Coturnix japonica: one gene and its partner. The protein of the gene in region 1 purifies or fractionates together with the protein of each later gene. This does not show direct contact. Links are inferred from orthologs where the notes say so. Each region holds a gene or a part of one and is shown in the gene's direction. Other genes may lie near its edges.

Region 1 (3,821 bases):
TAGAGTTAGAGGTCAAAAATGTGAGTTTAAGGCCACATATTAGGTGAGAAAGAGGTGGACTAAGCCATGTGAATGCTAGGGAGTCCTTAGAGCTCAGAACTACTTGCTCTTATGGCATTTCTGCAGTGGCATTCTGGATATACTGTGTTCCCCTACTCTTCTTTACTCTTTCTATAATCTAATGACTTCCTGGTTATCAAATACATGTGTTGTAGCTGCTGACATATACATCTATTGTGTGTATGCCATGTGAAAAGCATAGAACTGTTAGTTCGCAAGTGATAGTTCAGGTAATATCATTATCTGTGTCAGTTGAATGCATTCTCTGAATGATACTTCTAAACAGTATTGTGTCTTTTTCTGACAGCATACCAGGGTACAATCTGAATATTACACTTTAATGGTGTTTATTTACTTCAGGTATTTGTGGGATAAGCAGAGGACACCTGTTCAATTAGTGGTCTATTAGTGGTTCAATTCTGGTCTACGGAATAGGCTCTGCTGAAGTTGGGATGGGACTCATGCAGTACACTCAGTCATTTCCTGTATTTTTCATGCAAGATTTCCCTGGTACTTAAGACATAACTTTCAACCATCTGAGGAACTCAGCACATAGGTTCTTATTTACTGAAGATTTCTTTAGGAAAAAAAAGTTCCTAGTAAAACTAATAATGGAGAGCTCCCTCTGGAGCTTGTCTTGTTGCATTCTTGAATTGAATTTGAGTTGAACTTCTCTGAGATTACTATTTTTTTTCCCTAAAGTTTCTGAGGAAGAACCCTCAAATAGTAAGTGACATGACTGAATGTTGCAGATTAGGCCTTTCTTAATGGGGGATGTGAGAAGCTAGTATCTAGTGAATGTCTAGATTGGGACTAAGGAGACCTTTAATCAAAAGTCGGTTTAAATTTGAAAGAGTATCAGAGGCATAGGCTGAAATATATAGATCTGTATGAAATATCTGAATCTATTTGGACTTGAGATCTGTTCCGAAAAATATATCGTTCAGTTATCAGTCTCTCAGTGACTTTGAAGCATAGCAAAACACTTGTGCTCCCTCTACTGGTTATGTAGTAGCTGTAATAATTCAGTTAAAAATTATAAAGCTGCTCAGTTTCTAGTTTCACTAAAGTAACTTCAAAGATACAGTTGGGAAACTGAGAAGGGTGGTGTTGTACTTTTCTACCCCTTGGTAAGTACACTTCAGCCTATTCTCTGAATACATTGTTTTGTGGGCTAATTCTTCCAGTGAAGTTAATTTGCTGTGCTGGTCTGTTTAACTCCCGCCAACACCAAATATAGCTTTCAAAAGTTTGATAATGCACCAGTGGAAGAGATACATAGACTTCGTTATCAGCAAGGGATTTTTCTGATTGTTCTTAATTAAACAAACAAAATCTTAGGTCTATTTTAGAAGAAGCAGGATGTCCCTCATCTCCCTTTCCTTCTAGATTTATGCTTGGAATTAGATTTGAGGAAGATTTTAATTTAAGCATAAAACTTGCAGTAAGGCTATGGGGATTGATGTGTATTTACTACTGGCTGTGAAAGTCTGACACTTCACTATTACTTGGGTTTACTATGAACTGTCTTAAGCTGGGTCATTTTAACCTACAATTAAGGGAGAAGTGAGTGACATTTATCACTGTGGAAACTTCTAAGATTATAAAAACATCTCCCTCTGTCTGGACATGAGATCTTGTTGATGTGCAGGTGTCTATGCCTGAACTCTCTGCAGGAGAGAATAGGTTTGTGAGTTGGGCAGGTTGTTGCATTCTGCTTGTGATCACAAGTTTTCTTCTTTTTGTAGGGATGTAATGTAACAAGCCTAGAAGTCAGCATATCCACTGTCTGATTTGGCAGTACTACTTGAAGCATTGGTTATTTCATACAGTGAGAAGGTTATCAGTTTTTACTGTTAGGTATTATCTAGTTGGTTCAGTATTTAAAAAAACAGTTAATTCTAACCTAGGTATTGAGGTCTTCGGTGCCTGTGTAGCTAGTTGGATGTTACTGAATCTAAGGTTGCTGGGTTTCTTTTGTTTGTTTTTGGTGTGGGGTTGTTTTGTTTTTAGTTCTGGATATATTTGTTCTGGAGTACATATGCTATTTTGGTTGTGTGCAGCCAATGTTGAGAACTGGCTTTCATGTATTTGATCATGTGTTTGATACTTGAATAGACTTATTCTCAAGATGGAGTTACTGAGACTGTCTGGACAAGTGGATCTTCAAAAAGTGGACCTCTTCAGGCATTTACTAGGGAGTCTACAAGAGTGTCAAGAAGAACACCAAGGAAAAGGGTGATGAGAGGCTTATTATAATAGAAAAGCATTTTTTTTCACTATTAGGGTCCCAGTGGCTATTTTATTCAACTGTTTTCTTTTGTTTTAAACAAACAGGTGGAAGCTACAGTACAGTTGCCTGTAGATGATGCTGTTATGTCAGAGAGTACTCCCATAGATGAAACTATATTGACTGCAAGCAACGAGAGCCTAGTAAATATGCTTAGTAAATATATTTAATGAATAATACAAGTAGTATTTTTTCTGTAATATACCTTTTATAATATGTCTTTACTGACAGAATTGTTTTAAACAGGCTGTTTTTAAAGAAAGTAGGACTTCTTTTATTCAGTAGTCTTGAAACCATATGTTCAATAGCATATTAGCGCCTAGTGGTGCTCACTTTGAGATGGGACTAGGTAGACACATGGTTTCATGTTTTTGGGGGGAGGGCTGAGAAGATCTGCTTCAAAAGCTTAGATCTCTTCTTAAATTAAGTACATATAGAATATCTGCTTTAGAGCTTTGCTTTTCTTGTGAACTAATTAGCTTCTATGTTTCTAAGTGGCTTAAAATAAACTATTTAGACTAAGCATTGTATTTCCTTTACTTATTTCAGAGTATCTGTTACATAACTTTCAGTGAATTACTAACATGCACATATTTGATGCAGATAAGGGTTATGTTGCTTAGTTTTGTCTCCCTTCCCCATTTTACTTTGTGTTTTGGTTAATTCTGAGTTTGAACAATTTTGAATCTCGGCAGGTTGGCAATAGGGTGCCTGGAAATTTCAAGCATGCAGCTCCTACATTGTCAATAAGTGAACCCACAGACATGCCCAGAAGAACACCAAAGAAACCACTGATGACAGCTGAAGTAAATTAAAACTTAGATTGTTATTGCTTACTTTCTTTGAAGAAGGTTCTTATGTGTATGGATTTATTCTGTAGTATAGAAGGGGTGGAGGGTCTTGTTGCCCAGGAGGCATGATCTTGTAACTAAACTAGCGTTGTCATATGACATCAAAAAGAGTATATATATATATGCATATTTTTATTTTATTTTATTTTATTTTTCTTATCCTTCCTTGTTTTTGTAAGGTGGAAATAATCCTCTTTTGGACTATTATTTCATCTTATGTTGTACAGAATGTACTTTTTTCTTTTAAACTACATGAATAGTTCAAAGAGTGGCATTATCTAGCTAAGTCAGCATATCCTGGGCGGGGAAATGCCTCAACTGAAGGACTGCAGTGGTAGGACTACTTGAAATCCAAAGTCAAAGTTTAGAAAGCAACTGTAGGTTTCTATTAGCTGTCAAGTAAGAAAACTGTTCTTATACTCTGTTAGCCTATTCAAGCTGTTGAGATTATTTGGATACATGTCTAAAAGCACTTGAGAGCATGTGATTGTAGTTGTTAATGTAGTACTGGATTACTGTTGAATGTTACATTACAAAATAATACTTGGCTGAATTTAAATGGAGTTAATTGATCCATGTAGACATTGTACGTAAAACTTGTATTAACGCTTGTGAAGCCT
Region 2 (3,821 bases), on another chromosome or scaffold:
TTTAGTTAGGATGACATGCTGGGCATCCCGTAAATTAATTGGTGTGACGTTTTAGTTCTATAAGATTTCTGTATTAGATTTTTTTTCTTTGATCATCCTGTTGAATTAGAGATGAAATTGACGGCCTGTTGAACAGTGGGATTTCTTCTGGGTCTGCTTCAGTATCCAGCTGCTCATAGATGCCTGCTGAACAGCATCAGTGACTGCTGGCAATCTGTCTAGAAGGAGGTGTGGGGAAGGGGACTGATGGATGAAGGTACTGATGTCCTGTGTATGAGAACAAGAAAATGACTGAACTGAGGTAGAAGATGGGTTGCTTTGTAGATGCTTGAAGGAGGTAGCTGGTATTTATGAACTGAATAGGAATACCAGTGTCAGCCTGTTGCCTTCAAAGTTTCTCACAAACAAGAAGTGGATTTTCCCATTCGGTTTTTCTAGATACGTAAGTTGTGTTGAAGACATGTCTGCTCTTTTCATGGGCTATGGCAGTGGAGGGACAATACTGGCACTCCAGCACAAACTGCAGAGCTTGTCTGTGTGCTGCTTCAGTGCATTAACATCTGTTTTGTATTAAATACACCTTTCAGTTGTATACCTTTCCCATTTTCTCACCTGTCTTAACCAGCCAGAAGCAATAAATAGTAGAGCAGAGAAAGCTACGTTTGTACCTCTTTCAGTGATGTGACTTGACACCTCACCCACTGCCAGAGAAGCTCATTCTCTCAACTGAGAAGTAGTGTATTGCTAGTGTGTGTGCTTAACTTCTTTCTTTTTCGTATTTATTCAGATAATGGAGATGAAATGGCTGCTGCTTGTGACCCTTCTAGCTCTTGGGACTCTTGCTGCCCAGGAGCATGATGTGGGTGACGATGATGGTGATGATGTCATTGATATTGAGGATGACTTGGATGATGGTGTTGAGGAAGTAGAAGACTCAAATCCTGAAAGCAGCACTCCTCCTCCAGCTCCAAAGGTTTGGCATAGTTGTTCTTTAACATTTAATTACTTCTTGTGTTTTGGCTACTGTCAGTCTGATTAGAGTTGACTTTACTTTGCTGAAACTTAATGTATAGTGATGCTGTTAGAGATCACTAGCAGGGAGTAGGGTTTGGAATTTAGCTTAGCTGCTTCCTTGCTATTCTCATCTGACCTGCATCTTCTTTCGCGAAGACTTCAGTGAATATTTGAAAACTGAGGTGTAGTTATCAGGCATTAATGTTAAAGTTTCTAGCTAGACAAAATCTTCAGTTCTTGTTGCAGAGGAGAGCACAGTGGCTCAGCATAAGCAGCAGTGTAAACATTTCTGTATTTATGCTGCCAGAATGCTCTAGGTGCTTTATGGTATGGATGTGGGATGTGAGCTGTATGTGCCTCTACTTCTTTAGAGGATGTGCCTTGAAAGGTTCATAAATGCCTCTCTTCTCCCCTAGGTTACTTACAAAGCACCAGTCCCAACTGGCGAGGTCTATTTTGTAGAGTCCTTTGATAAAGGAACTCTGGATGGGTGAGTATAACATTAGGGGGCAACTGAACAGATGAAATCAGAGTATTATGTGAAAGGGAATTCCTAGTGCCTGTTACTGAAAATCAACAGGCAACACGTGACAAGATCAACCAGTTTTTGCTTAGGTACTAGTAATAATGGGAAGAGAAGCCCATATTTTATGTATGCTTTAATCTTTCTCATCTGACTTTGTGTACTTGCTTCAGATTCTGAGGCAGTGAGTGATCCTACATAAAGCTGAGAACTTGGCAGGTTTGGGATAGAGCTCAGGATCGAGACACTTGGGGTTTAGTCACAGGACAACAAAGGCTATTTTAAGAGCAGGGGTTTTTGTGTGCATAATGAAAAAGTATGAGTTTCTTACTGTTGGATGCTTGTTTTCTAGATGGATCCTTTCCAAAGCCAAGAAAGATGATACAGATGATGAAATTGCTAAGTATGATGGTGAGTCCTACCCATATTTTGACTGGTAGTTGTTTCTGATGTCATTTTGTCTTATATAAAGAAGAGGTGCAAGTCTGTTCTTCTTGCTCCCTGAAATTGTGTTCACTGAAGAAAATGGGAGAATGTGTACATGCTTAACAATATAAAGTGTGATCCTGATTCAGATAAGATTCAAACAAAATTTCCACTTAAAGGTTTTAAAATAATTTTTAGTGAAGATGTTAAGCCCAGTAACTTGAAGGCACCCTGTATGAAGATGGTGATGACTTTCTTGTTTAGGATTGGGCTAAGACAAGATTGTATCAAATGGGTTTTGATAATACTTTGTTAATTTTCGTCTAGGTAAATGGGAAGTCCAAGACATGAAGGACAGTAAGCTTCCAGGAGACAAAGGGCTTGTGTTGGTAACACGAGCCAAACATCATGCGATTTCATCCAAGCTTTCAAAGCCTTTTGTATTTGATACCAAGCCCCTTATTATACAGTAAGTAAAAGATAACTTAGTGTTCTGTGAGGGGTGTGATGTGGTAGTAGGCTTGGGTTTATTTTGTAACTGAGCTTTTGTTGGCTGGGGGGTCTAGATGACACAAGATAGACTGTAACCTCTCATTATACAATTTGAGTAGGAGTAAAATAGCAATCTTGATTCCTCAAGTGGGAAGTTAGGAACACAGTGGCCCCCACTGCAGCCTGACAAAAAAAGTAGTCTATGAGTTGGTAATTAGTCTCTGGACTTGAATTTCTCATTCACTAGCACAGAAATCTGTTGCCTGTTCTGTTAATTGTAAAAGTCCATGTCCACTTCACCAAGAGCTTGTCTGTATGTTTCTCACTGTGTTTATTCAGTGAAGTGTCCAGTTTCAAAGGTGGAGTGAGCAGAGTGTTAAGGGTGCACTTGTTTCCGCCTTCCTTTGTTCTGGTGCATCTGTTGTGGAAGATGAACAACTTGCCTAATTCTGTTGGGCCATGAGTGATGTAGAGGAATCTGCTTGCATGCATGTTAGACTAGTAAGCAGGAAAAGAATCTTTCAGTGACAACAGTTGAATTGTGGGATATTACCTATGTTACCAGTTATAAACAGCCAGTGATCCAGTTCATATTTGTACAAGATAATGAAATGGTCACTTTACTTTGTGTTACTGTTTAGTTTTGGCTCAAAATGCGTGGCTAAAAATAAGTTGAAGTGGTCATTCACTTCAGCTGCTGGCATTGAGAGAGGTTTGAGCATGCTTAGCCTATTCCTGACCGACATGCTTTGCCTTTTTCAGACTCCTTGGCATCTCTAAATATACTATTGTATGCTTGCAACCCTAAGGGGAGATCTTCTAGGATCCAACTGCTCACTTCAGTCATCTTGCAAATTGAGTTGTCTGTCTGCTGTAATGGTTGTGTGGAAAATAATTTGTTCCCCTTAATCTCCATTGCAGTCTCTTACATACTTGAAAAACCTTTTCTTCCCTCTACTTCTGGATCATAATCTTCTAGACTAATGCTCAATTCTTTTAATCTTTTCTGTCAGGTTAAGTCTTTTAAATCCTTGCTTCTTTTCTCAGGCCCCCTTGAACATCTGCTTAGTCTCTAGAGCGCAGCATGTGTTTTTAATGTTCACTTTTGATTTGAAACAAACAAAACCAAAATAGTATTGCTCTGCAATTTTCAAGTATAAATTCATTCATGTATTATGAAGGTAAATGTTGCTTGTGTATAATGTGTTCTTCATTTCTCTGTCCAAATAAGGTATGAAGTAAATTTCCAAAATGGAATAGAGTGCGGTGGGGCCTATGTGAAACTGCTTTCAAAAACACCTGAATTGAACCTGGTGAGTGCTGCTAATACTAATACTGAGTGTTATCCATGGAACAAAGCAACACA

The links.
Region 2: the proteins of TMPO (region 1) and CANX purify together in Homo sapiens (affinity purification with mass spectrometry; 3 studies listed by BioGRID and IntAct, with this or other methods). This does not show direct contact. The link is inferred for Coturnix japonica from reciprocal best matches to the Homo sapiens genes TMPO and CANX.

What each region holds. Positions count from the first base shown.
Region 1 is NC_029516.1:42,484,928-42,488,748, forward strand, and holds part of TMPO (thymopoietin), read left to right. Parts: intron 1-2,178; coding exon 2,179-2,298; intron 2,299-2,397; coding exon 2,398-2,493; intron 2,494-3,045; coding exon 3,046-3,156; intron 3,157-3,821. UniProt on the Homo sapiens protein: May help direct the assembly of the nuclear lamina and thereby help maintain the structural organization of the nuclear envelope. Possible receptor for attachment of lamin filaments to the inner nuclear membrane.
Region 2 is NC_029528.1:4,541,499-4,545,319, forward strand, and holds part of CANX (calnexin), read left to right. Parts: intron 1-787; 5' UTR 788-790; coding exon 791-973; intron 974-1,430; coding exon 1,431-1,504; intron 1,505-1,889; coding exon 1,890-1,948; intron 1,949-2,290; coding exon 2,291-2,432; intron 2,433-3,686; coding exon 3,687-3,768; intron 3,769-3,821. UniProt on the Homo sapiens protein: Calcium-binding protein that interacts with newly synthesized monoglucosylated glycoproteins in the endoplasmic reticulum. It may act in assisting protein assembly and/or in the retention within the ER of unassembled protein subunits.